Tamandua tetradactyla: one gene and its partners. The protein of the gene in region 2 interacts with the protein of the main gene of each other region in a pairwise test. Links are inferred from orthologs where the notes say so. Each region holds a gene or a part of one and is shown on either strand. Other genes may lie near its edges.

Region 1 (7,559 bases), on a different chromosome or scaffold from region 2:
TCAAAGGCAGAATAATCCCTATTAATACTGTATGTTTGAATCTGTAATTAGATCATTTCCTGGAGATGTAACCTAATCAAGAGTGATAAGCTGGATTAGGGGAGATGTTTCTCTACCCATTTGAGTGGGTCTTGATTGGTTTACTGGAATCCTATAAAAGAGGAAACATTTTGGAGAATGGGAGATCTCTGAGAGAGCAGAGAACGACATACCCACGAGAAGCGGAATCTACCAGCCAGAGAACTTTGGAGATGCAGAAGGAAAACACCTCCTGGGGAGCTTCATGAAACAGGAAGCCAGGAGAGAAAGCTAGCAGATGACACCATGTCCACCATGTGCCCTTCCAGCTGAGAGAGAAACCCTGGCTATGTTTGCCATGTGCCTTCTCACTTGAGAGAGAAATCCTGAATGTCATCGGCCTTCTTGAACCAAGGTATCTTTCTCTGGATGCCTTTGATTGGACATTTCTATACACTTATTTTAATTGGGACATTTTCTCAGCCTTAGAACTGTAAACTAGCAACTTATTAAATTCCCCTTTAAAAAAGCCATTCCATCATCTCTGGTATATTGCATTCCAGCAGCTAGCAAACTAGAACAGTGGGTAAGTTGAAGAATATGATCAAGATGAGAAAATTAATGAAATAGAAAACAAACAAAATAGAGTGGATTAAATCAAATCCAAAAGATTATTCTAAAACAATTAGACTAAAATAATAAAATTGATAAAATCATGTGAGCATGATCAAGAAAAAAGACCAAAATGATGTATTACCAATTTCAGGAAAAAAGGAACATCATTAAAACTTTAAGAGAACATTATGATGAGCATTATTTAAAAATTGAAAATATAGGGGGAAATGGATATAAATTCATAGAAAAAATTCAACTTAAAACTACAGTGAACTTACACATAATATTTAGTGATGGAATATTGAAAATTTTACATCTGAGAATGGAGAGAATGCTGAATATCACTGTGGTAGTTAGATTCAGTTGTCAACTTTGCCAGGTGAAGGCACCTAGTTCTATTGCTGGTGGACATGAGCCAATGGTATGTGAACCTCATCTATTGCTGATCAGATCTGCAGTCAGCTAGGAGGTGTGCCTCCTAAAATAAATGATGTTTGACTTAATCGGCTGGTGCTTAAATGAGAGAACACAACGTAGCACAGCCCAAACAGCTCAGCATACCTCATCTCAGTACTTGCAGCTCAACCCAGGCCTTTGGAGAGGCAGAAAGAAATCACCCCGGAGAAAGTTGTTGGAATCCAGAGGCCTGGAGAGAAGGCCAGCAAAGATCACCCTGTGTCTTCCCACATAAGAAAGAACCTCAGTTGAAAGTTAGCTGCCTTTCCTCTGAAGAACTAATAAATAAATCCCCTTTTATTAAAAGCCAATCTGTCTCTTGTGTGTTGCATGCCAGCAGCTAGCAAACTAGAACAATCAGCAATTCTAACTAAATTGTTCTGGAACTTGTTCTTATCCATCAACTGGATAAAAACATTTAGTAATGTTAGGGGATCATGTATCCATTCTACTAACGTATCTGTAAACTCTTTTAGATTTTCTAAATACACAGTCATGTCATCTGTAAATAATGAGTTTTATTTCTTCTTTTTCAATCTTTGCATCTTTTATTTATTCTTCTTTCCTTTGTGATTGGCCAAGATTTGTTTTTACTTTTAGCCCATCGTCACTTTTATTCCACTACAATTGAAATGAAATTCTGGATTAAATGTAATAAAATATGAAAAAATGAATATATTATTTATTTATTTGCCCTATGGAATAGTCCCACTCCCACCGCTACCTCATAGGCAAATCATTTTAATTAGTTGGATGTGTTTCTTTTTGTGTGTGTTCTTGTGCAAACTGTGTGTGGTGTGGTTTTCTTTGCACATATTCTTTTTATAAATTTTGTCGTAAAATGAAATTGTTTCTAGTTTCCTCATTCAGAAGAATGTTTTTAAGATCCATGTTTCTAGTCTATTATTAAATTCTATTTTTATAGAATGCATTTTCTTCATCCACAAAATTTGTCTATCTTCTCTCTCATGACAGATACCCAGATTACCAATAACATAGCAAGGAACATCTTTATACATCTCCATGTACCTTATGAGAATTTTATTAGTACACATGTCCTGGAGTGCAGCTGTTGGTTCATAAATCACATATTCATATACTTACACTTACAAATAATAGCCAGATTGCCCTCCCACATTACCATAAGCACTGCATGAAGTTTTTTATATAACCATTTCCACACTATCATTTGGCATGATCAATCATCCTAAATTTTACCATATGATTAAGTGTATAGTGGCATCTCACTGTTGAACTAAATCTTTCTAAATTTTAATAAATTTGAGCATTTCCTCAAATATTTGGTAGTCTCTTTAGTAAACTAGCAATGTTTCTCCATCTTTCTACCTTTCTCCATTTTCTTATTGTGGATACTATCTTTTTCTTGTATATTTGCATTAGGTATTCTAATTATTTATATCTTGTAAGTTTGTTTCAAATATCTTCTATTTGGCATGTAATTTATAATAGCTTTATTAAGATAAAATTCACATACCATACAATTTATCCATTTAAAGGGTACAATTAAGTTAACGTTAGCATATTCAGAGTTTTGCAACCTTCACTACAATGAAGTCTAAAACATTTTCATCACTGCAAAAGAAATACATTCCCGTTGACACTCACTCTCAATTTTCCTCCAAACTCCTCTGTTCTAGGCTACTACTAATCTACTTTCTGTAGATTTCTGAAGAGCATTCTTTCATATGGATATACCCGATTTTATTTATCCATTCATCAGTAATTGGACATTTCCAGTGTTTCCATTTGGGGGCCATTATGTATAACACTGCTATGAGCATTTACCTGCAATTCTTAGTGTGGGCGTATGATTTAATTTCTCTTCATTAGATATCTAGGAATGAAAAGCAAGGTCATGTGGTAACTCTATATTTAACCTTTTGGGAACTGCCAGACTATTTTATAAAGCATCTTCACCATTTTCCATTCCCACCAATAGTATATATGGGTTCCAATTTCTCCACTACATTGCCAATGCTTGTTAATATGTCTTTTAAATTATATCCAATTTGGTGGCTGTGATTATATATTTAAAATTATATCCAATGAATGGTACAATAATTTGGGTTTGATTTGCATTTCCCTGATGAGCAATGATCCTCTCTTTTTTTTTTTTTACACGGGCAGGCACCAGGAATCGAACCCGGGTCCTCTGGCATCGCAGGCAAGCATTCCTGCCTGCTGAGCCACCATGGCCTGCCCTTGAGCCTCTCTTACAGTGATTATTGGCTATTTGTATATCTTTTTTTTATTTCAAAAAATATTTTTATTGAGATATCTTCACAAACATACAGCCCATCAAAAGTATACAATCAATGGCTCAGGATATGATCACATACTTGTATATTCATCACCATAATAATTTCTTAGAACATTTGCATCACTCCAGAAAAAGAAATAAAAAGAAAAAAGAAAAAACTCATACATACCATACCCCTTACCCCTCCTTCTCATTGACCACTAGTATTTCCATCTACCCAACATATATATATATATATATATATATATATATATATATATATATATATATATATATATTTTTTTTTTTTGCATGGGCAGGCACCAGGAAGTGAACCCAGGTCTCCAGCATGACAGAACTACTGAACTCTGCCTGCTGAGCCACCGTGGCCCTACCCATATATTTTAATCTTTGTTTCCCCTATTTTTTTCTATACCTCTTACCACTCCCTTTCATTGATCACTAGTATTTCAATCTACTCAATTTATTTTAACATTTGTTCCTCCTATTATTTATTTTTTTAAAACCTGCTATAGAGTTTTTTTTTACAATTCATGAAAGATTTATTAAACAGTACTATTAAATATTGTCCACAGTTTACATTATGTGTATTTTTCCTATAAACCACTTTATTGTTAACACCTTGTCTTGGTGTTGTACATTTGTTATAATTTATGAAAGAACATTCTTATATGTGTACTATTAACTACATAACCCATCATCTATAGTAGGTTCACCATGTTATACAGTCCTATGTTTTATCTTTGTTTTTATTCTAGTGACATATTCAACCTAAGTTTCCCGTTTTAACTACATTCATCTAAATAATTCAGTGCTGTTAATTATGCTCGCAATTATATGTTACTATCACCACCATCCATTTCCAAACCTTTACAATCAATCTGAATACAAATTCTGTACAAATTAAGCATTTTCTCCCAATTCTCTACTACCAATCAGCCCCCTGGTAACCATATCCTAGATTCTAGTTCTATGAATTTGCTTATTATAATTAGTTCATAAGAGTAATATCATACAATATTTGTCCATTGTGTCTGGCTTATTTCACTCAGCATAATGCCCTCAAGGGTTCATCCATGTTGTCACATGCATCAGGACTTCATTCTTTTTATAGCTGAATAATATTGCATTGTATGTACATACATTTTATTTATCCATTCATCACCTGATGGACACTTGGGTTGTTTCCATCTTTTGGCAATTATGAATAATGCTGCTATGAAATTCGGTATGTAAATATCTGTTCAAGTCCTTGCTTTCAGTTCTTCGGGTATATACCTAGTGGCAGGATTGCTGGGCCATATAGTAATTTTTAAAAAATTTTTATTAATTTATAAAAATTACAAGAAACACAAACATTCCCAACACATACACTCAGCAATTCATAATATCATCACGTAGTTGCATATTCATCATCATGATCATTTCTCAGAACATTAGCATCAATTCAGAAAAAGAAATAAAAAGACAACAGAAAAATACAACAAACAGAAAAAAAAATTTACATGCCATACCCCTTACTGATCCCTTTCATTGATCACTAGCATTTCAAACTAAATTCATTTTAACATTTTCCACCTATTATTTATTTTTATTCCATGTGTTCCTCTCATCTGTTGACAAGGTAGATAACAGGAGCATCAGACACAAGGTTTTCAGAATCACACAGTCACATTGTGAAAGCTATATCATTATACAATCATCAGCAAGAAACATGGCTACTGGAACACAGCTCTACATTTTCAGGCAGTTCCCTCCGGCCTCTCCATTACATCTTGGATAACAAGGTGATATCTACTTAATGCATAAGAATAACCTCCAGGATAACCTCTCGACTCTGTTTGGAATCTCTCAGCCATTGACACTTTGCCTCATTTCACTCTTCCCCCTTTTGGTCGAGAAGGTTTTCTCAATCCCTTGATGCTGAATCTCAGCTCATTCTGGGATTTCTGTCCCACACTATCAGGAAGATCCACACCCCTGGTAGTCATGTCCCACGTAGACAGGGGGAGGGTGGTGAGTCTGCTTGCTGTGTTGGCTGGAGAGAGAGGCCACATCTGAGCAACAAAAGAGGTTCTCTTGGGGGTGACTCTTAGGTTTAATTTTAAGTAGGCTTGACCTATCCCCTGTGGGGTTGTTTCATATGAACAAACCCCAAGACTGGGGACTCAGCCTATAGCTTTGGTTGTCCACACTGCTTGTGAGAATATCAAGAATTCAACTTGGGGGAGTTGAGTTTTCCCCCGTTCTCACCATTCCCCGAAGGGGACTTTGCAAATACTTTTCCACTCATTGATCAAATCACTCTGGGATTCATCAGGGCATCACCTGGACAAACCAACAAAATCTCATGTCCTATACAAAGTTCCATGTACTTAAGGTGTTCAATCAATATCTACATAAGTTATATTAGGAGGTGCACTAGTCAAAGTGTAGATTTGTACCAAATAAACATTTTTTGCTTTAGTCTCACACCTTAGTTGAAATTTTAAAATATTAAGTACCATAGTACTTTCTTCTACTATTTTGCCTTCTGGATTTTATATGTCATATCTAATTTTCCTTCTTTTTACCTTTACTCATAGTCTTCCTTTCTACACTCTTCTCCACACCTCTCTCTTCTGTCTTCGTATTTGTCTCTAGTGTTCCCTTTAGTATTTCTTGCAGAGATGGTCTCTTGGTCACAAATTCTCTCAGTGATTTTTTGTCTGAAAATGTTTTAATTTCTCCCTCATTTTTGAAGGACAATTTTGCTGGATATAGAATTCTTGGTTGGCAGTTTTTCTCTTTTAATAATTTAAATATATTATCCCACTGTCTTCTCACCTCCATGGTTTCTGCTGAGAGATCTGCTCGTAGTCTGATTGGGCTTCCCTTGTATGTGACGGATTGCTTTTCTCTTGCTGCTTTCAAGATCCTCTCTTCTCTTTGACCTCTGACATTCTGATTATTTAATGTCTTGGAGTATGTCTATTTGGATCTATTCTCTTTGGGGTATGCTGCATTTCCTGGATCTGTAATTTTAAGTCTTTCATAAGAGTTGGGAAATTTTCAGTGATAATTTCCTCCATTAGTTTTTCTCCTCCTTTTCCCTTCTCTTCTCCTTCTGGGACACCCACAACACGTATATTCATGAGCTTCATATTGTCTTTCAATTCCCTGAGCCCCTGCTCATATTTTCCCATTTTTTCCCCTATAGTCTCTGTTTCTTGTCAGATTTCAGATGTTCCATCCTCCAGTTCAGAAATCCTATGTTCTGTCTCTCGAAATCTACCATTATAGGTTTCCATTGTTTTTTTCATCTCTTCTACTGTGTCTTTCATTCCCATAAGTTCTGTGATTTGTTTTTTCAGATTTTCAGTTTCTCTTTTTGTTCCTTCCTTGCCTTCTTTATATCTTCCCTCAATTCATTGATTTGGTTTTTGATGAGGTTTTCCATGCCTGTTTGTATATTCTGAATTAATTGTTTCAGCTCCTGTATGTCATTTGAATTGTTGGTTTGTTCCTTTGACTGGGCCATATCTTCAATTTTCCTAGTGTGATTTGTTATTTTTTGCTGGCGTATAGGCATTTAATTACCTTAATTAGTTTATTCTGGAGATTGCTTTCACTTCTTTTACCTAGGGTTTTCTTGCTGGATAATTTGTTGTCCATCTGTTCTTTGACATTCAGTTCAGCTTTTTCTGGACCTTCAGCTTAGGTTTTGTTTAACAGGAGAATTTTTCAGTTCTTTTCTTATTTCTTGTTTCTTGCCCTGCTTGTATGGTGCCTTCACCCCCCCACCGCCACCCCAGCCACACTTAGGAGGGTCTACTTCGATATTATAAACCCAGCCAGATTTTCCCAGACCAAACTGGCCTCCTATCAGGAGGAAAGAGTCACCTGCATCGGTTTTCCCTGAGGGTGAGACCCAGTAGTTTGAAGGACTTTCCTGTGAAGTCTCTGGAAGAGTCTCTGCTTTTCTTATCCTGCCCAGTATGTGATGCTTGTCTGACTGCAGGTCCCACCAGCATAAGATGATGCAGTACCTTTAACTTTGGCAGACTCTCCCTGCTGGGGGTGTGGTGGAGACAGAGAAGAGGTTATAGGCTGGTTTTAATGGCTTCAAATTACCAAGCCGTGGTGTCTGAATTCCTTGATGGAGGGATTCCACCTGGGTGGGGCTTCACCCCTCCCCTGGGGAAGGCAC
Region 2 (6,910 bases):
GTCTCCGTATTTTTTTGGTATCTTTAATGTTTCTCAGAATAAAATAAAGACGATTTAAAAAAATAGTTTTGTTCAATTGGAACATGAGTCTGAATTGTCCTCCTTACAAATCCCACTTTCAAGATAACAGATCAAAATCTGGTCTCTCCTGGTGTTGTCCAGGTTTTCGTGTCTGAAGCTCCACATTGAGGCCTGGCTGTGCTGCTGCTTTACTTTCTGTTTGTGTAGACTGAGCAGGGACTCCCTGTACTCAGGACGATGTCTGAGCAGCAGCAGCCCGGCCAGCAGCAGGAGACCACAGTTTCTGGCGCTGGTTCTGACACGCGACCCTCTGAGGCTGGCCCAGCAGCCAGAATATCTGGGTCCTGGGTTGGTTTCTAAAGCACTGATCCTCCTCCTTTAACACATGCCCAGTAGTTATGCTGGACCAGGACTGGAAGGGCCCATGGAAAAATTTATAGGTAAAGATGTATGCAACTTTTCTTTTTGGGGGGGTATCCATTAATGCTGAGAAGTTAGTTCAGAAAATCTGTCACTGCATTAACCATTTCTTTTACAAAAGGAGGCCCAGTGAAAACAAGGGCAACTGTGAGTGAAAGTGTTTTTTCAGCTGCCCTCTTAAATTAGCGGTGTCCTAAGGGCAAGCTGGGGGGGCACCATGTATGAGGTTCGAGTAGCATCTTCCTGGGGAACAAAAAAGCACAATCAGAGAGTAAGAATAAAGTCAAATGCAGGATTAGCCTAAATGAATAAATTTCTTATTCAAGTTCAAAACTTTCACAGTGGTTTTGTTCAGGCTTTCTTTCCATTACAGTTGTGACAGGTAGCCAGTGACTGTTCCTAATTCAGATGTCCTCAGCCCAGAGAATGAGTAGGGGAAAACTCAGCCAAAAGTGGTATGTTCCTCCAATTCCAGGTATCCCAGAAACCAAACCCAAAGAGGAAACAGTGGCACAAAACAAACCCGCTGAGGACTCACAGCCTGCCTTTCTGACTGTTGGTGCAGACTCAGGTGCACCTACACAGGTAAGCTGAACTCTCCTGCACTCCACAGACTAGTATTTTTCTTCCAGTGCAATAAATACTTAACTAATAACAGGCCCTGTAAACCTGAACTTTTCAAATCCCATAGGCCTGGTCCTGAAACTTGTGAAGGGCTTTGGGGGTGCTCTGTAAAATGGGGGTAAACATATTAGAGGGCTGTTGTGAAAATTAGAAACAATGATATACAAGGCACATATATCAAGCGCTTAATGCACCTATAGGTCTTATAAAAGACACCCAGATTCATGGGGTGCATGGGTGGTTCAGCTGTAAAATGCTTGCCTTCCAGGTGGGAGACCCTGGTTCAAATCCCGGACCATACGGTCCCACCCCCATCCCAAAAAAAGATACCCAGATTCCTCAGGTTTTATAAGAAAATATGACCCTTCATTAAACAATATCTGAGCTGGTCAGTGACCAGGGTTTCCTAGTCTTAGCCCAACGACTCAGGGTTGTTTCTCAGAAGAGTTAATGATTAGGAAAAGAGAAATTAGAAATATGTCTTCGGCAGCCTTGATCCATCTCTGGAAATTTCCACTCTGTGATCTTTTTATCTTTCCCCCCAATTCATTCTTTAAACAATCATTTCTTGAAAATTCTCTATTCAAAGAGAAAATACAAATATGAAAAGTTTTAGTCCTCAGTCATTAATACAGGGTAGCAAAGGAGAAATCAGCGCTGGCCAAGTAGAATCCCTATAAAAATTTGCTTAAGAATTTAGTCATTACTTTGCAAACTGGCTAATCGAACCAATTGGTGGATCCCTCCTGTCACTCAACTCCCCCTTCTCTCACCTATTTGCTTGGCACCTATATAAACCACATCCACCATGACAGTCCCAAAGGTGAAACAATCCTCTCCATTAACCTCAGGCTGTGAGAACTTACAATGGGGCCCTGCGACCACAAGCCCCCCAGATGGCTGGACCTTCAGAATCCCTTCATGCATGTCCAGTCGCATGCTGGACCCACTCTCCACAGGGCCCACTCCAAATCTCCACTGCTCCTTTCTGGTGGCCCACTCAACAACTCTCCTCACCCTCTACAAGTGACACTGTCTCCTTATTAAAATGAAAATCAGGGCCACCTAAAACCTCACCCAGGCCTGCTGTTCATTCATGCAGCAAGTATTTAGCAGAGCCTACCATGACCCTCCCCTGTGCAGGTGGGGGCAACCACGTGTGAGAGCCAAGCAGCCATGCTCTCTATCCTCATCGACGCCACTGTCTATCATTAAGTCACACATTAAGCAGAAATTACACAAACAGGTATACCCTGAAAGGGACTAGGAAGAATTCCAAGTACTGCAAGTTTTAGGGGCTGGGATAGATTTTCTTAAGAAATTACATCTTTAGAGGAATCGCAACAAAATGGAAGTTAAGCGGGGAAAGAGACGGGGAGGAGCGTCCCGGCAGAGTGAAGAGCAGCTGCGGAGACCCTGGGGTGACAAGGATGGAGCAGCTTTTGAGGATCTTTAGAAGCCACGTGGGCATGAGCTAGCTCGCACAAGTCCACCTTAAGTAGTTTCGGCTTTTAAACTGAAGAAACAACAGGGGTCCATAAAAAGGTTTTAAGGAGCGAATTCCATCCAGGATCGGGTTTCCCTGCCTTAAAGGGAAACCTGACAGCCCTGGCGGGTCTGTTTTGCCCCAGAGGCAGCCCAGGGTCCCGCTCAGGCCTGGCACACGGCTGGCTCCTGCACTACCTGTTGGCAGGCCGACTGGATTCGCTGCGGACCCGGGCCCTGTTTGGGTTGGGGACTGGAGAAGGGCCTGTGCCGGGAGGGCGAAGCCGGGGGTGGGGGCGCGGGCGGTCGCGCGGGGCGGAGGGGGCGGTCTGCGCTGCGCGTCCCGGGGGACCTGGAGCGCGACAAACGGTCGGCGCCTTTGGGACTCACCGTCCGCCGAGCTTTCGGCCTGGGCGCGCGCTGCGTCTAGTGCTCGGCGAGGGAGGAGGCCGCGCGGCCCAAGCGGCGCTGTCGGACCCACCGCGGTGCTCGGCGCAGCCCACGGCGTCAGGTGAGCCGGGCGGGGAGCGGGCCCCAGACCCGGGCGGGTCCGCTGCGGCGGCGGCCAGGGCCCGGCGGCGGGCGGGTATCCCGGAGCAGCAGGCGTCGTCCACGCGGGGGCCGGCGAGCCCCTGCCGGAGAGGCGCGGGCCGCGTGGAGTGTCCGGGCGCCCTGGGTCAGCCCCGCCGAGGCCCCGGGCGCCCCCGGCTGCCCGCTCCCTGGGGGCGGAGGCGCGGCGAGGCCGGCCCTGCCCGAGTGGCCCTGCCCGGGGCCGGCCCAGCCTCTGGCCTCTTAGCTCAGACTTTGATGCTTGTCGCCGTGAAAGAGTGGAGCGGACAGCTCAGGGGACAAGCTCCGCGGCGGAACTCCTGCTTCCCCGCGGCGACGCGGTAGACCTTAAGGGGCTTTTCCTTGCAGCGCGTTTTCCCCGTCAGCTGAGCAGTTTGTTCTTGCAGAACCTGGGTGGCTTCTCTCACCGCTGCATGGCGCACGGCCACCCTGGTGTGACTGCTCTCCGCACCCTTTCACGGGGGTGCTGCTGGGCGCTCGTGGGGGCCAGCTGGACGCCGCGGCCCGCCCGGGGCCGTCGGGTTTGTGGAGGGACTGGCCCGCGGCCTCCCTAATGGAGTCGCTGAGGGTGAACGAACAGGTGTTTTTCCATTTTCAGCTATTAAAAAAAAGGAAAAGAAAAGCAGTTCGTTGAGCACTGTTCCCTGCTTTTTGTTTAATTTATAGCATGATTATTTATTTAGAATGACTCCGTCATAAATCTTAAGGCGTACATTGCAAAATGGCCCTAAGAAAAAAATATTCCCGGATCTGCACATCTGGTAGCATTTGGGAATACCTGGTCCAAGGAGCTTGCGGCCGGCTTGGTTGGAGGGCCTTAGTTTTCTCAGAATGAAAAATCACTGAGCATCCCCTCGTGACTAACTGGCCTTACCCGGAGCTGTTCCTGAAAAGGGAACTGAACATTTTTATCAGTGACTTTTTTTTTTAACTGCCTTAGGTTTATCTTGGACAAACCACTGCAGCCCCAGTACAGTTAAACCTAAGTCAAGGTAAAATTCAGGGTAGGGTGGATAAGCAGTGGAAACGGCTCAGTGGTTGAAATGCTGCTCCAAAACAGGGGTATTGGGTTATGCAGGAAAGGGATTTTTTAAAATTATGCAGATGGGTAAGTAGACATTGAAAAAGCTTTCTTTGAAGACATATGAAAAGTTTCAAGTAACATCTTCCCCATCAGTGAAAGCAATTTGTTTTTCCATCCTCTTCATATATGTTTTTAAATCTGTTTCCTAAAATAGAGGGGGAAATTGTGGTTTATAATTTTCCTATTTGGTCACATACCTGAAAATTAAGCATATGAATACGAGCTAAAAAATGATAGTGGATTAATCCATTTCCCCTAGTTTTAAACCAAAGCCTACCCTGGCTGTCCTGCAGGTTTGGCTGGAATAGAACCTTCTGTAGGCTCCTTCTTGTGATCCTCCGTTGGTTTCCCAGAGCCTGCGTCTGTTTCCTCTGAGCTCCGTGCCTAGGACATAAATGTCCAATAACTATCACTATGCTGGATGAATTTAAAATATGACCTGTGCTTTTAAATCGGATTTGTAACTCACAACTCTTTGTGCAACTTTTAATAGGTATTTCTCAATATTCATATGACTATAGTAGAAATCAAGGACAAGGAGAGTTGTGATCATCCCTTCCCTATAGGTATAATAATCACATTCAGCAAACTTCAGGGCAGGGCATCTGGTCCTTGTGGTGACTGAAAACTAATTGAAGCGAATACATTCGTTAGGGACAGAGGCTTATTTTCAAATCACTGACAGCACCTAGTATAGTGTTTTTTAATAGTGGGCTCAAATAAATGTTTGTTGACTGGGAAAAACTGAATACTGGATATTTACTGTAAGGAAACTGGTTGTGAAAGTACACCTCCCTTGAGTAAATAGGCAGAGCATAGCTGCTCCTTCAAATCATACAAAACCGTTTTTTAAAGGGTGTGGTTGGTTGGCTTTGCAGTGCTTTCAGGACACTAAGTAGGCATTTAGTAACTATTTTTGAATGAGTGGATTATATTTTGCTCAGGTAGATAGTTATTCATGTATTGATTCATGCAGGCCATCCAGAGAAGTTGCCAGTTATAGAGGATTTAAGGTACCTTTTTTTCTGAAGACACTCTCAAAAATGAAAACTCAGTAGATGGCTCAAAGTATTTTAAAATCTAAGTAAATATTGATCTCTGTGCTTTAGTGCCTGTTGAGGTTTTGGAATAATTATTCATATTCATATTATTCACATTTACTTTGTTTCAGACCTTTAGCCTAAATCTCAATTTTATCTCAAGTTTCACTAAAAGACTCACCGCATTCTTTTATATGCATTTGATGCTGACCAATGATTTTTAATTTTCCCCCTCATTTGAGTAGCCAAAAAACACATCAGTCTTTTAATCATTTACCTTTATGGCTATTAAGAATGTGTTGTACATGGGCTCCCCTACTTATGATCCAGTGGAGCAATTCCAAGTAAATTTAAAAGTGCTCAGTATTTTAGAGGATATATATACAGTTTGAAATGAAATATGTGAAGTGACAGAGGTCACAAAACCAGCAAAACTTCTGCAATAAGAGAGAAGACCAAAAGCAAAAGGCAGAGTTCATTTTGTACATTTTCCCCATACAATTAATGAAATTTATTGGTAGGGGATATTCGGATATTCTTTATGGTGAGATTATGTGGACATTTTTTTTGCTCCATACACATTATTGGGACCTCAACAGCCTTGTTAGGGAGCTGGATAAATAGTAAAAGCTAGGTCTCTGTGGTTGGGGGTGACATTTGGAGGGATGTCTTATTACTTTGATTTTCCCATAATGAGGGAGCGGGCTGGGAGTAGATGATCTCATAGAGTTTTTTTTTTTTTTTCTTGTAAAGCTGAAAATTGTGTAACTAATATTTTGATTGTGGCTGTTGTAAAATAGTGCTCACTTTAATCCTTGTATAGAAATCACTTTTTTTCAGCCAATCTCTGCCCTTGAAATGGTACAAAATTTGGAGCATTGCTGCCTTTTAGTGATTTTTTTTTTTTGCATGGGCTGGTACCGGGAATCAAACCCAGGTCTCCGGCATGGCAGGCGAGAACCCTGCCACTGAGCCACCACTGCTTGCCCATGACTGCTGCCTTTTATAAGCCAAATATGCTATTAAGGTTCTCAGGAATAATTATGAAAATATTTTAGTCTTTTTCTTAAAATAGCAGATAACATGAACAAGAAAAATTGAAATATTACTGGCTACATTAAAGCAACCTTTTCTTATTTAAATGGGTCTATAGAAAAACAAGCAAGGAGAGTAACATAATTGTGTAATTTTCCTGTGAATGTGTGTGTAAGAAGAACATTGCTTTTGATATATACAGTATTCTAAGCAGCGTTGGATTCCACCAACCTTTCCTCTGACCATTGCATGTAGTTCTCACCTATAGTGTCCACTAGCAATTATTGGAAAATGAAAAATTACTATCTTTTAGATAAATAACTTCAATATGTTGATAGTTTAGGGAAAACTTTTTTTAAAAATGTGTTCTTGATTTCTAATCTTACTTCCAATTTGATTGCATGTTATCTTTTATACATCTATATGAAAAGTTATTATAATTAGGATGGTACCATGCCATATCTTAGTGTGATTTAGTAATATTTGAAGTGTCTTATAGTGGAAAGCTGGGCAATTCTTTTAGGTTTGTATGCCGCATCACTGAACTTTCTAGTGTCTTTGAAAGTTGTAGAGGAAAACTTGAATGATATCTCCAAGCCTACTTTGATTTACAAAGGATGCCTTATCAAAA
Region 3 (7,056 bases), on a different chromosome or scaffold from region 2:
CTTGTTCCTTACTAGTGTATAGAAATGCTACAGATTTTTGAATGTTGATCTTGTAACCTGCTACTTTGCTGTACTCATTTATTAGCTCTAGTAGTTTTGTTGTGGATTTTTCCGGGTTTTCGACGTATAGTATCATATCGTCTGCAAACAGTTCTTCTCCCATTCTTAAGTTGCTAATTAAAACTCACAGGTAACTTTCTTCTTGGCATGTACTTTGGTCTGGGTTTTTGTTGGGCTGGAACACTAGTTTCGATGATTATTTTAGACAATACATTCCCTACAAATAAGCATCCATTTGGGACTTGACATTTACTTTAATACTGTGTCAAACACCAGCTTTCATTGTCCATTAATAATTTAATATGCACAATCTGATATCCCAAACAAAATATTAATTCTAGATAATGGGCCCCAAGTCTTTACATATTCTTAATCAATACCTTAAACATATTTTTGAACTGAATAATCTACAATCATTTAGGAATGGGGCATTTTAACTTTTTACTGTGAAATTGGATTGGTAGAAACACATACAAAAAATTCCTACATATTCTTACCCTGATTTTCTACAGGTTAACATTTTATCACATTTCCTCTATCAGGCAACCAGGCAAGTACTATCATTAACTACGAACATGTCAAAACCTGCACAATGATTACAGCTGGGTTTGATAATTATCTTACATATTATATTCATTTAAAAGGATAATGAAAGCACTTCAGATATTTCTGCTTGCAGCAGGCATGAAGACTCAAGTTAAAATTAAAATCTAATTCTAACTGCATGCCCTTCACCATCTCTTCAAAAGGGTTGGGTTTTTTGTTACCAAAACGGACACGAAGTCCACTCCACAAGACTACAGCCTCAATGATTAGTTTTACCTGTGGAGAAATCACAACCTGCGCTGCAAGGCAACACAGGCCTTTATTTAGGGTCTTAGAATTGCAATTAGGGAAGAACAGATTCAGGTTGCAACCCAAATTGTGTCTTGGGTCTTCCAGGCAAGGGTTTATAGAAAAAGATCACACAAGTTGTTTGTGTCTGGTGGGTATTAGGGACCCTCCAAATGTCCTTTAGGTTTGATAGTTAACTGAGTTCATTATCTTGTGATTTGTTTATGGTGTTTTTAGGGTTTTGAGGAACACTGTTGCATGAACCATTGCACAATTTGACAGTTTTTAATACCTGGCTGAGATTTGCTGAAAAGTAACTGCCAGAATAACCTCCTGACTCCATTTTAAATCTCTTAGTCATAGTAATTCTATTTTGTTTTCTTTCTTTTTGCAGATTAAAAATGTAGAACTTGGGCGGGCCGCGGTGGCTCAGCGGGCAAAGTGCTTGCCTGCTATGCCGGAGGACCTCGGTTCGATTCCCGGCCCCAGCCCATGTAACAAAAACGGAGAAACAGAATACAATAAAACAAGAAAATGTTTAAAGATGTTTCCCTTTCTTCCTTCCTTCTATCCTTCCTTCCTTCTCTCTGTCTTTCCTTTAAAAAAAAAAAAAAAAAAAAAAAAAAAATGTAGAACTTCTAGCAGGTAAAGTTAGCAGAGAAGGCAGTGTGGTTGTGTGCATATGTGTATGTGTGATGGAGTGATAAGAGAGAGGGAATTAGAAAGGTTCTAAAATAAAGATAAACTCAGAAAAGACTCCAGGAGCACAGTCCTGGGCTAGCTATTGACAAATATTCTCCGGATTTGATTCTATTGGGAATTAATGTCCCAGAAAGAGGGCCTGGAGAAGGAAGGAGTTGAAATAGAAGGCAGCTAAGTAAGTGGCGGTGCAGAGAGAACACCTCAATGGGGCATACCAACTAAACCAACCAAGCTGATTAACAATGATGAAATGCACACTTCACAGACATTCTCTCAAAACCTCTCACACTTTGGCAGATAAAAGGCAGGAATAGAATTCAAAACTAGATCTAACTCACGGTAAACCAGAATTCATCATACTATACTATGCTGACAGTAAAGGAATACGATATGGACACATTTCAGTTCAAAATAAGGAAGAATTTGTATAGAGTGATTCTACAGCACTCAGATCAAAATATGATCATCTACTTGCTTTCTGTCTCTTCCCCCTAGTCTATGATCTCTTTGAAGAAAGGACTATGTCTTTCATATCAATATTCCAAATAGCAAATGGGCACTAGTTTTTCTTTTTTTATTTTTTCTTTACATGGGCAGGCACTGGGAATCGAACCCAGGTCCTATGGCATAGCAGGCAAGCATTCTTGCCTGCTGAGCCACCATGGTCCGCCTGATGGGCACTAGTTTAGCATCATTTATTGGACATCTATGATGTAGCAGACCCATGGAACTCCCAGACAGGGACAGCTCCAAGAATGGAGTGCAATTGGTGCAGACACTAAGTCACTCAGAAGGGCACTTGGCTTAATGTTCTATTGTCACTGTCTTGAAACTTCTGTGTTAAAAATGAAGTATCATGAGACAACAAAGTATGCACAGAAATAGAGGAGAAAGGTGCAATATGCCTGGCCATCACCATTCCATGGCACCTCATTTGCATATAGATTTGTTATGCTCCATTAGCACATAATTCTGGTGGATCCACAAGGGAGGGAGTTTAAGACTTAAATTTACTAGCTTCCAGAGTTTTGATATACTATTCACATTTCAAGTAGTTAAGTAAAAATAGTTGAGTTAGTTTCGTGCAGTGTTTCCATTGTTCTTATAAGAACTAAAAACATATAACTTATATGAACTACAAAATACTAATTATGCAATTTCAGTGATTCTGCATGAGTTAAATGTTTTTATATTTGTACGTGGAACTGGCATTGAACAATATAAGCATGAATGATAAAATTCATGTTAATAATTTACATTTTAAATTTTTACTTAGTTTGGCATTAAATACAAATAAAACCTACCATGACAAGTAAAGAAACAAAGTACAGAAGAAGTTAAACACTTAAATTTTAGCACCTATAATGGCACTCTTCCCCCTGCTTTTTGAACAAGAGATCCTGCATTTTCATTTTGCATTGGCCTCACAAACTATATAGCCTGGCCTGCTCCTGTATATGATGGTAAGAAACGATACCTGTCCTGAAGATTTCATTATTCTACTGACTCTCTGGTGCTGCCTACAGGATCAGATTTTTTAATCCCTGGAGTTAATAGTTGGAGCAAAATTTGGTACCGACCAAATTATCTTCAAGGTCTCTTCCAATCCTGAGATGACTGACTAAAAACCACGACTAGATAGCCTCACTGGTTTATCATGTGATACAAAATGCCAGAAAGTGGAAAACGCAACCTGGCTCACAATTTTTTTTTCCTAGCTCATCCTTTTTTAATTGACTTTTATCTTAAACACCCTTCAGGGAACTACGGGGGTGGGGGACTCAGAAAAAATAATAAAACCCACAGCTAGTATCTCTTGCATGTCACCCAACTACTGGGAGGCACCCTCAGCTTAAGAGTTACAAAAACAAGGAATCCAAGTCCAATGGTTTAGCGCTTTTTTCCTCCCTCCCTCTTGGAGAGAGGGGAAGCGGGTGTAGTTAGTACAAAGGTTACTTGTTTTGAACCACGGTCAAAGCACGATCCTTTTCCAATATTTTAACACAGAACACAATCTGTACGACTAAAATTGCCAAAAAGGGATGCTTCACACTGAACGCAAACCCAAGTTCATCTGCTAACCTAGAATTCCCACACACGAAAGACAGACACACACATATCAATCCAGCACCCGGTTTTAGGAAGATAGACGACAACTCAGGAAATGCGACACCACCGAAAACAAATTGAGCTCAGAGGCTTTTTCCTCGCAATTAACATACATTTTGCTCCCTTGATCACATAATTTCCGTCATTCGCCGAGATGTTCTTGACTATTACACTTACCGATCTCAACCAGCTGAGTAAAGCTTTATGTTCCCTCAGGAAACTCCTTCCCCTTCACGTAAGTAAACTCCGGCTCCGCCTACTTTTAAATCCCTCCTCCTTTCCCTGCGATCCAATTGGCGCTGGGTGTCCTTATCTCCTCCCACCTCTCCCTTTTTTCCCTGGTGTTAAGTTGTACTCGCGAGATTTCGGCCCAACTATTAGCTAGGTCGCAAGCTAGCGTTCTCCCTTTCTCCGTTCCTGTTGCGAGAGGTAACGTTGTTGTTTAGTAGAGTGCTAGGGCGGGAGAATAATCAAGTCAGTCGGCGACTTCTGTCCCCGAGGCCCGGTTGCCAAGCTGAAAAAGTAGAGAAGAGAACATGGCTGTTCCGGGCTGGCGGTCGAGGAGGGTGGCTAGTCTATTTCTCCCTGGATCATAGCGTTGATTGGGGTGGAGCGAGCTTCGCAAGTTAGGCCCAGAGGGTGCAAGGTTCCCCCGGGCCTAGCTCGGCGGCCCTATAAATAAATGCGTGTTGGCGTGTATTGCGTTGTATCGGGGATGTAATTATTAGGATGTATTCTAGACAAGTACTTTGTGATTTAATAGGAATAAGTGCGAGGTAACGATTCTTGGCGCCATTTTCCTTCCACGAGGTTAGGAGTTCCCTAAGAGACCTCTCCCAGGGTCGCAGATAGTAAGTGAAGAAGTATTACGTTTGATCCTGTTTAGTGCTCTGTCTTGCTCTTACAAATCGCATAGTCCAACAACGGGATTATAACATAATCCAACAATGGTACCTAGCTGGAATGTTTCCAGTTTCTGCGAATTATTTTTGAGTGCACGCACTTCATTTTGATAATCTTTTAAATTTAATCCCAGGTGTGCCGTCGGGGCAGACTTTTATGTTTTGAGCAGTTGATACCCTATGATTTATTAACGATCTCAGAGTTTTACGTTCTTTTAAAAAGTGTAATAAACATTTTTAAATTACCCTAGAGGCTATGAGCACATATATTTGAAACATTTTGCTCCTTTTAGTATCCTCGAACTTATCGATACTCTTGGCGTTTCCCAAGAATGCTAGAGAGTAAAAAACTGCATAACTGGAAAAAAAGGCGTCGCTTATAACGGTGATGCAGTAGTGAAGATGGGTCTTTACGTCTGTTTTTTACGTTGTACAATGTTAAAGGGAAATTTTAAAAAGATGAATATCATCCTAGTCATTGCAAAGGAAAAGGTTTCACGGTTGCTTAGATGAGTTAATGTTAATTTGAAGAGACCGTAGATGAAATCCCAGACAAGGGTTTAAGATGTTCCATTGGATTCGGATGGTAAATGTTGATATCTGTTTTCATGGTATACTGGGTCCTCAGGTATACTAATCGTCTACTTTTGTATATGAAAGTGAATTTTTCTGATCTTGGAAAATGACCAGTAGTTATATGGTACTGTATTGGTATTTGTATGTTACTGTATAGTTCCTGGTAAAAGTACAGCATTTATTGGTAGTTGGAAAGCTAACGGTACTTCTGTTGGAAATGACATTACTTTCTGGATGGAATGGATCTTGTACCATTGCATAGATTTGAAAAAGCACAACCAGGAGAATGGAGCTTGTGAATGCAGTTTCTGAATTTTAGAATTTGATTTGAAATGGATAGCTTCTAAATAAGCTTATGCTTGGTAAATCAAGTGACTTTTTTTCCTAATTCACAGTTGATGTAACTTGAGAACTTAATACTCTCCATTTAGATATTTGCTGTATCAGTGATGGATTCTCTCGACTACAAAACAGCTGCTGTAGAAACTGAAGATCAAAGGTAAGTGTAAAAAACAGTTGACAGTTACTAGAAAGTTTTCAGCAATAGATTCGTAAGTTTATATAGTAAAATACCTTCTTAACACCTTGACTCCATGTTTTATATCAAGCAAATAGATATCAGGGTGGAGTGTCGCTTGAAAATATTCCACAAAGAAAGGATGCTGGCATAACTATACATACAAGATAATTTCAGGGTACTTCACAGAATTGCCATTGAAATGGCATTTCTAATAGACTGCCAAATATTTTTCGAAGCCTTAATGGAGTTTATATTTCAAATGGAGGATAATAAGCAGTTTAAGTGTTTTGGGACGTTTTAGGTAGGGCGAATAGGATTCACTGGCTAGCATTCTGCTAATTCCTACCGCTTCCATTTATTTTTTAAAAACTTATTGTGGGGTGGTGTGATGGTGGTTCAGTGCTAGAATTCTCAGCTGCCACGCCAGAGACCCGTGTTCAATTCCTGGTGCCTGCCCATGAGAAAAAAAACCTTACTGTGAACATGTTCCCTACTTTAGTCTTTGGAAGGATACCTATTTGAAATTATTAGTAGTAAGCAGTCAGTGAGAATGTAATTTTTTCTCCCTTTTTCTAGTGATAGCTCATCGTCTGGTAGCAGTTTATTTAAAACTCAGTGTATTCCTTCATTACCTAAGCAGAGGCAAGGAAACCCTGTTAGGAAATTTTATTTTCAAGAAAATGTTCAAAATAGAGATTCATCAAGCGATTCCTCTTGGGAACCGATACCACGAACTTTAAAAGCTATTTTTGAAAGATTCAAGAAAAGGAAACGTAAAAGGAGGAAATATAAGCCAACAGGAAGACCTAAGGGAAGACCAAAAGGAAGAAGAAACACCAGAAGTTCACAAATAGGCAAAAAAGAATTGAAAGACAGAGGACCCTGGTTCTCGTTTTTACAATCAGAGAATGGAAGAAACCCATTACCTTGGAAGAAAATTCTAACCTTTGAGGTGAGTCATTCTCTTATATCAATGGAAATACAGGAAATTATTTGTTGACTCTGGAAGCTTCCCTTATCTTTTTTTTTGTTTTTTAGCTTCCCTTATCTTACAGTTATCTATGCTGAATCATTCTAGCAAACTCTCCAGAGTGATGCGCAGTTCCTGAGTTCTTTAAATACATCCTTAAAGCTCATATTACTACTCATTTTTGAAGCAATGAAATTCTAAACCACACATAGCTTAATGTTCCTGGCTTTTAGTAAATTTTTTTTAGAGGCTGGATGACAGAATTGGCTGGCACCCACCTGATACCTATCAGATTAAAATATTGATTGAGTGAATGTATAATTGTCTTCCTTGCTAGAATGCGATTTATTTCTAAGAATGAATAGCATTAGTATTTCTCAGGA
Region 4 (7,971 bases), on a different chromosome or scaffold from region 2:
TCTAGAAAAGCTTGACATGAGTTACCTATGGCCTTTCAATGAACGAATTAGAGCTATTTTTGCTGGCTCAGTTTCCTACAAAATATCTTTATTGATCAATTTTTCAGCTCCTAGTTAAGGATCAAGATGTATCCTGAGCCAAATCCCTAAAATATGCATAGAGGAATTGAAAGCCATATAAAACTTTAGTTAAGTAACTAGGACCTTCAGCTTTGACAAAAAGATCAACCAAATACCCTCCAGTTATCTACAAGTAGAGCTTTCATAAAAGACACTCTGAAGACTCAGCCAATCACTATGAATGAAGGTAGTATCACAAAGCCCCAGATATGTGCTTAGGAAATAATCAAAAGGACAGGTTTTAGAATCAGAGATTTATTTATTCATTAAACAAGTATTTATTGAGTGTGTACTATATGACACGCTTTGTTCCAGGCATTAGGAAGACCTTAGCCAGTAAAAAACAGTAAAAATCCCTATCTTTGGATGTTTATGTAATTCCCTATTATATGTTTACAATTTTACCCTTCCCCCAACTTTACTTAGGCCAGCTTCAGTTTCTTTTTTTTTTTCTTTGTATACAACAGTCTCCTTCTATAAAAGTAACACAGTAACCTAATGGCAGAAAGTACAAACAAATCAATGAGGAAAATCATTAACACATCTGTGTTAGTTTGTTAAGTTGACAGAATGCAATATGCTAATGTCTTCCAAAAACAAGAATTTAATAAGCTACAAGTTTACATTCTAGTGCAGAGAAAATGTCCAAACTAAGGCATCCAGGGAAAGAAACCTTAATTCAATGAAGGCCAATGGGTCTGGAATACCTCTGTCAGCTGGGAAGGCAGGTAGCTGGTATCTGCTGGTTCCCTGCTCCTGGACTCTGGTGCTTTCAATCTCTGTTTCCTGAGGGGGTTCCTGATCCATTATCTGTGGGCTTTCACTTAGCTCCTCCAGGACACAACTCTGGGTTCTGGCCTGCTCAGCATTTCATGGGAAGGCATGTGATGCTGCCCCCCGAGCTCCATGTCACTAGGCTTCATGTCCACCGGGCCACACGTCTGCCAGCCCCCCATCTCCAAATGTCCAGGTCTCACATCAGCTCTGTCAGCTCTGAAACAACTGCCCTCCAAGCGTCTGCATCAGCTCTGCTCTAAGCTCTCTCCAAAATGTTTCCTCTTTTAAAGGACTCCAGTAAACTAATCAAGATCCACCTGGAATGGGTGGGGTCAGATCACCACCCACAATTAGCATGTCAGATCTCCCTGGAGATAATCTAATCAGAAGTTTCCACCCTGCACTTTTGAATCAGGATTAAAAGAAACCTTGCCTCCCTTTGCTGGGGCACATAATACTTTCAAATCAGCACAACGTCAATAAAAACTTGAGAAGAAAAATGAAGTGGCAATTCACTCAAGTAATACAAATAGCCAAGAATTATGAAAGGATTTTTTACTAGTAAGCAAAAAAAAAGAAAATTAAAAGAAGAGGGTGCCACCCCCATCAATTTGATATAGGCAAAAATCCAATACCAAATGTTGATAAGGATATAAAGAAAGTAGACTTTGAAGCACTGTAGAAAATAAATGTATATTCTTCCATTTAGCCACATTTACCATAATTGTAAATGTAGGTTACCTTTGACCTGCAATTCTATGCCTATAAATTCATCATAAGGAGATAATCCGGAAAGTAAACAAAATAAGCAAATGTACAAGAAGAGTCATTATAGCTTTTTTTAGAGTAGCAAATTTTGTAAATAACCTAATTACTCACCAATAAGCTATTATTATGTTTCCACACAGTGAATACTATGCATCTATTAAAAATAATATAATTACTTAACGAAATTAAAAGATGGCCCAAACTTTTAAAATGTATTAGTATAAAACAATTTAGAGTGATCTTATTTGTAAAAAAAAAAAGTATATTTATTATATATGTGTGTGTGAGGCATGTATATACATATGGAAAAGAATTGCAAAAATGTTTCTGTACTGAATGGCAATTGTAAAATGAGCAGTCAGTGTTGGTGATTTTATAACGAACCTCAGGATGCATGGTTGGGTTCAGAGATAGAATGCTTGCCTGGCATGCTGGGAGACCACGTTCAATTTCCAGTCCACGCAGGGAAAAAGAAAAACGATGGCAATCTCATCCACTACTGTTGAGAATATGAATTAATAAAATATTCCTTGAGGGCAATTTGGCTCTATTTATAAAAAGCCTTTAAAATGTGCATTTCATTTTATTCTGTGATTTCATGTTTAGGAATTTATTCTAAAGAAAAGAGTATGAATGCTGATAATACACATATTTATATAAATATATTTATATACGTATAAAACAGCTTATAGATGAGATGCCTGGGAGGTGGGGGATAAAAAAACCTTAATATTCAACAATAGAGATTTTTTTATCATACATCTTTCTTTTCATTAAAAAAAAAATGACATTAAAGTTTGAGAGGTTTGGGTTTGGTCCTTGTGTGGTCGCCAATGCTAAGGGGATGGCAGAACTGAGTCCCCAGAAATGTAAAAGCATCATTTTAAAGTTAGTAGCAATCACAATGTCAAGTTTGAAGGCCGAAGTCAAATCATGGGAATATCCACAGACATGTGGGAGGGTACAGGCTCCAGCTCTGGGGGATCAACAAGAATGGAAATTCCTTGGAGAAGATAAATGAACAAAACAGGAACTGGCACCAAAACGGTCTGATGAGAGAAGCTCACCAGGAGGATAGGGATCCTCCTCTTTCCTGCTACTCCTTAAGGGGGGAGGAAGGTGACCCCAACAAGATAGCAGCTACTTAGATACCACATTGCTCCAAGGCTGGTCAAATGGCAATGCCAGAGGACGGAATTCCAGCTATAAATGGGGACAAACTTTTCCAATTTCTGCACAGCTTGTTTCTCGATTCCAGTACTTCCTCATGATTATCCTTCTCTAAGCTTTCATAATTCATGATGACCGTGTTCATGGTGAAAGAGAAGCCAAAAATTCAAAGTCCATAGTGCCATGCAACTATAACTTCTGGTACATCAGGTCCCAGTGTCTGCAGCAGATGAGACTCTGCAATGGTCTCAAAGTTGGGGCCCCCTACCATCACAAAGGGGCCTTCCTGTAGCTCTCGCTGCTCCCCCACCCCATTTGTTTCCAAGCACAGTTAGCCTTCTGACTCAGATTGCGATCATAAGCATCAGACAATGCAGGAAAATGATGGCCAGACCTTTCATCATTGGGGGCTCTGAAAGGGTTTTGGCCAGAGAAAACAGACATGTTGATATGGTCACAGATCAGCATGATATCTTCAACCTCGAACTTAAGAGTTGAGCCCTCCAGTTGCATTGGTGATTACTAGGGATTCTCACCCATAAGTCAGAAAACCCACACTCGGAATGTTACTTTCCAGAGCAGGCAACCTTCATGAAAGTGGAATCTGTCCTGCATCACCACACAGGATTAGTCATTCAGGAACCCAAATACCCATTGTCCAACAGGAATTGGTACTCTATTTTGAGAGAAGTTGTGTATCTCAGTGTAGTCAAAGTTCTGGGCCTGAGTTACTTTATGAACCAGACCTCCTAACACAGAACCACAGATCTCAGCCACTTAAGGCCAGTGCTTTCTGTGGAATAGAAGCCATTCTGTAGTGTTCTGATAATCTCCATATGTGAATTCTTTCTCCATGGTCCTGCCTGCGCCTTCTTGATGAGCCAGCTGTATTCCATTTTGCTAAACTGCAGTCGCTGGGTGTGGTTGACACTAGTCAACAATAAGGATTTGAGTAAATAAAATATCATATGTTTATAATGCATAATATTAGGTAATTATGTTTACCATGGAAAATGTTTAACATGGAAAAAGATTCACAATAAATAAGTGGAAAAAGTTTTAAAACTATGTTCCTTTTTGTCACAAGCTGGTAAAAGATAATAAATACATGTACAAAAGAATTAAAAGCAAAATCTGAAACAACTTCAACAAGATATTCATAGTAATTATCTCTGAGTCAGCTGTTTTCATTTTCCTTTAAATTCTCTACAATGATCATGTTTCATGTTTGAAATAAGAAAAAAGTCATTTAGAAGTATACTGAAATCCTTAACAGCAGGTAAGCTTAAAAAAAAAGAAAAAGGTAAACTTAAAAAAAAAAAGAAAAAGGGACATTTGAAAGCAGCTAAATGAAAAGACCCTCCGTTTAAAAAACGACAGACCTTTTAGAGAAGAAAGAGCACTGGACCAAGGTTCCCACACTAAATTGCTGGGAACCTAAGAGTCATCGTTAAGTGATCTGAATCTGTGACTTCATCTGCAAAGTTCAGATTGGACTTAAGGTCTCTTTCACCTCTTACCTTTCCTGAGTCTAGGTATTAGCCTTTATTCTGTATAAAGAAAATAAGTCACTATTAGCAGTGGGCAGATATTAGGTTGGCGGTTGTCTGCGGAGCTATTCACTTAAGGATTTATCAAAAGATGCTTTCAAAAGAGAAAATTTGTAAATGTGGAGAAAAATATGTTTTTTTCAGCAGCCTGTTCTACCAGGCATGGTGCTTGATTTTGAGGGCAGAGAATTACATGAAAAAGAAATACAAGAGCACCCTCACGGAATGTCAGTCTGGTGGGGGAAACAATTATAATAAAGAGTGATAAATGACAACAGCCTTCAAAGATGACTATCCATCTTTGGGAAGAGTATTTCAACATAGAGGGTTAAGCATGTACACTCGAGAAAGGCTATGGCTGACACACGCAAACGGTTACAGCACAGATAACTTCAGGCGGATCGGAGAAAGTCAACGTGGTAAGCGTCTGCCCGGCTGCTCTTAGGCGCCGGAGGCACTATTGGCCAGGTTTCCGGCCAATCTCAGTTCCTTGATCAATTTAAGTCCCGCCCATCCCTGAGAGACCTGACAGCTTTGAAGTCCCGGATGTGGTGAAGGTCTATCGATGCCTCTGGAATAGACTGCCCTGCCCTGCGTTGCCGCGGTCAAATTCTCGCAGACTTCTCTGTCGACCGCCGAGCGGTAGTTTCGGCGTCGCGCCTCGATCGGGAGCTTTTCAGGAGGCCGCAGCCGGTCCCGCGCAGGAACGATGGTGCGTTTAGTCTCCAGCTCTAGCAGGATTGGGTTTGAGGTCCGGTGGCTTGGGAGATGTCGAACCGTCTTTCCTGTCATCTTCAGAGCGGACCGGGGCCATGGGGCATGGGAGCCTGAGCCGACGCGAGGGCCCGGGCAGTGATTCAGCATCTCCGGCCAGGCCGGTCGAGAGTCGGTCCGCTGCGGCCTTTTCCCCGGGACTTATTTCGCTTCCCAGTGGTCTGGGACAGTTCCTTACTCTATCAGCTAGCCCAGTCTTCCCTTCAGCGTCTTTCAGTGAAGTAAATCCCGAACGGTCCAGTATGGCTTCTCGTGTTCTGTGTGGGAGAGATGAGGAGAAAATAGGGTCTTGGAGGCCCCCCAGTACCCCCAGTGAGAACTTGACTCAGAGTTTGGGTTCCTGAACGGCGCCGATTTTCCTTGTGGACCAGGAAATGATCATTAATGATGAATGAATGATTTATCATATCCCTATGATTTATAATTATTCTCATCCCTAGGGCTTAATCAGAAAAGGCCCTTTTCAATCACTTTGTCCAGTAAACTAGTTTTAGAGATGGGAAACCAAGAGTGAGAGCCGGAGTGCTAGAATGAGGGTTACATGATAGGGCTCTGGGCTTCCAGTTGTGTGTTTGCCTTTCCGGCAGCACTCAATCCTTTCATCCCAGTGATTGTTCTCTCCAGTACTATGCTTCTAGACTTGTTTTAATACCATCATTATAATAGTAATGGTTCTGTTGCTGTAATTACTTGTGTCCACCTCTAACTTCCTGAGGACATTTTTGTGTTTGTTGATTAATATTTATGTGTTTACACATACAAACACTGTTTTACATGTAGTGGGAGTTCAAAGAGAAGTCGGACATGCCCCTATTCATAATAGAAAAAAGAAAGGAAGTGTATATAAAGAACTATGGGAGCGTGTGCTGAGATTTTTGGAGAGACGGAGAATTCAAGATTAAAATATTTGAGCTGATTTAAGGAAGAAGTAGGGGTTGGGGGGATTTATTAGAGCCCAGGGTAAATGAATGCATAAGCAAAAACATAAAGGAAAGTTGACAGTTATGAACTTTGGTATTCAACCTAAAAATATATGCTGTGGAGAGTGGTACAATAGGAATTTGGGAAAGTAAGTTCTGTCCAGCTCTGCCTACACTCCTCTTCTTTCCCCATCCCCAACCCACCTCCTCCTCATAAATGTTTGTGGGATTGTCTTGCAACTGAACACAGTAGTGATCTTATATAAGGTTACGTTAATAGACTTGGGTTAATGTTGAATGCAGAGGATTCAAGAACATTTATTTCTTAATGATAGCACATTTTAAGAATTGAGATTTGTAATGTTCTTATATTAATAGCTCTTTTTTTCCTTCACTTTCAGTTTCGCAACCAGTATGACAATGATGTCACTGTTTGGAGCCCTCAGGTAGAATAATAGATTTTATACCATTTCTATGACGTGACTTTTGGTGGCTGCAATATGTTTAGAGATTCATAAGATTGGATACTGTAAGAAAATGGAATATAATCATTTCAGACATCCTGGAACTTTTATTTATCATTAAATTTCCTGGTTTTAAAAAAATTATTTGAGGTTTAACTATGCTTGCCTGAGTTTTGAGAGCTCTAAATTAGGTTTTACTTTATAAATGTGTCTTCTGAGATGTGAGGTTTTTTTTTCCACTCTTTAGGGCAGGATTCATCAAATTGAATATGCAATGGAAGCTGTCAAGCAAGGGTCAGCTACAGTTGGTCTGAAATCAAAAACCCATGCAGTGTTGGTTGCATTGAAGGTAAGTAAACAGCAAATCTGTCTTCTCCTTTGAAAAACATAGCTACGAAATGTAAAGTCCACTGTATACACGGTAAAGTTGTAAACTTGTCTTTATGTCTTATAATGTTTTTATTTAGAGGGCACAATCAGAGCTTGCAGCCCATCAAAAAAAAATTCTCCATGTTGACAACCATATTGGTATCTCAATTGCGGGGCTTACTGCTGATGCTAGACTGCTATGGTGAGTATGGTTATTTAAAAAAAAAAAAAGAAACACTCCCTTTAGATTTATAATTGATTATTCTCTGTTTCTAGAAAAGATCCAAATAAAGTGTTGTAGGAAGTTGTTTGCTAAAAGGTGTATAAAGATTGTAAATGCCTTAGTGCTTGGGCTGATTTACTAAGTATTCAGTTTCTCCATCCCTGTAGTAGTAACTAATAGAATTAGCCATATTAATAATATGCTTTTGAGAAGTCATTGAATGAAGTAATGCTTGTTAAATCAGTGTATATTAATTTTAATATTTTAATAATGCTATGTTTAAGACAAGCTTGAAATTTTTCTCTAGTTTCCAAGAATGAACTGAACCACCCTTGGTTTCTTCCATATATCAATTTTTATTAGACTTTTATTATTTGCAAAACTTAATAATCAAACAAGGATCTTGTTCTCAAGAAGCTTAAAATCTAACTTAACTCTACATAATAAGTATAATGTCTATGATACAATGTGCAAAGTGGTGAGTTTTGTAAAAGTAACAGATAAATTTCCACTAGAGTCCATAGGAGCTAGAGATTTTTTTTCTAATTGAGAAGCAATATATAAATGAAGAGCTGGAGTCTCTGTAAATCATGTAGCTTTTTACTCAGTATTTTCTTTCTCAAGATTATTTTTAAACAGCCTAACTTGTAGAGCACTTAACATAGTGCCTTTCAAGTAGTATGTGAACATGTGTATGTTGGGGGTGGTGGTGAGATTTAGCTAAACTAAACTCATGTCCATGATTAATTAAGAAAGTAATTTAAAGGCAAAATAGTAATGCTGATGTTTAAAATTTTCAAGTTATCCAGCCAGACCCTTGCTCTAAGTCATCTTGA

What was found.
Region 1: the proteins of CEP70 (region 2) and ZNF227 interact in binary tests that used the Homo sapiens proteins (3 or more experiments, as listed by UniProt). The two-hybrid records come from large-scale screens. The link is inferred for Tamandua tetradactyla from reciprocal best matches to the Homo sapiens genes CEP70 and ZNF227.
Region 3: the proteins of CEP70 (region 2) and TAF1D interact in binary tests that used the Homo sapiens proteins (3 or more experiments, as listed by UniProt). The link is inferred for Tamandua tetradactyla from reciprocal best matches to the Homo sapiens genes CEP70 and TAF1D.
Region 4: the proteins of CEP70 (region 2) and PSMA1 interact in binary tests that used the Homo sapiens proteins (3 or more experiments, as listed by UniProt). The two-hybrid records come from large-scale screens. The link is inferred for Tamandua tetradactyla from reciprocal best matches to the Homo sapiens genes CEP70 and PSMA1.

What each region holds. Positions count from the first base shown.
Region 1 is NC_135342.1:20,216,969-20,224,527, forward strand, and holds the start of ZNF227 (zinc finger protein 227), read right to left. Parts: upstream 3,012-7,559; 5' UTR 2,896-3,011; intron 1-2,895. UniProt on the Homo sapiens protein: May be involved in transcriptional regulation.
Region 2 is NC_135341.1:82,637,417-82,644,326, forward strand, and holds the start of CEP70 (centrosomal protein of 70 kDa), read right to left. Parts: upstream 3,022-6,910; 5' UTR 2,941-3,021; intron 1,027-2,940; exon of another isoform or gene 917-1,026; intron 1-916.
Region 3 is NC_135334.1:49,333,393-49,340,448, forward strand, and holds the start of TAF1D (TATA box-binding protein-associated factor RNA polymerase I subunit D), read left to right. Parts: upstream 1-4,034; 5' UTR 4,035-4,134; exon of another isoform or gene 4,135-4,216; intron 4,217-5,592; exon of another isoform or gene 5,593-5,614; 5' UTR 5,615-5,632; coding exon 5,633-5,682; intron 5,683-6,279; coding exon 6,280-6,655; intron 6,656-7,056. UniProt on the Homo sapiens protein: Component of the transcription factor SL1/TIF-IB complex, which is involved in the assembly of the PIC (preinitiation complex) during RNA polymerase I-dependent transcription.
Region 4 is NC_135334.1:89,910,903-89,918,873, reverse strand, and holds the start of PSMA1 (proteasome subunit alpha type-1), read left to right. Parts: upstream 1-4,966; 5' UTR 4,967-5,094; coding exon 5,095-5,097; intron 5,098-6,480; coding exon 6,481-6,525; intron 6,526-6,790; coding exon 6,791-6,892; intron 6,893-7,010; coding exon 7,011-7,114; intron 7,115-7,971. UniProt on the Homo sapiens protein: Component of the 20S core proteasome complex involved in the proteolytic degradation of most intracellular proteins. This complex plays numerous essential roles within the cell by associating with different regulatory particles.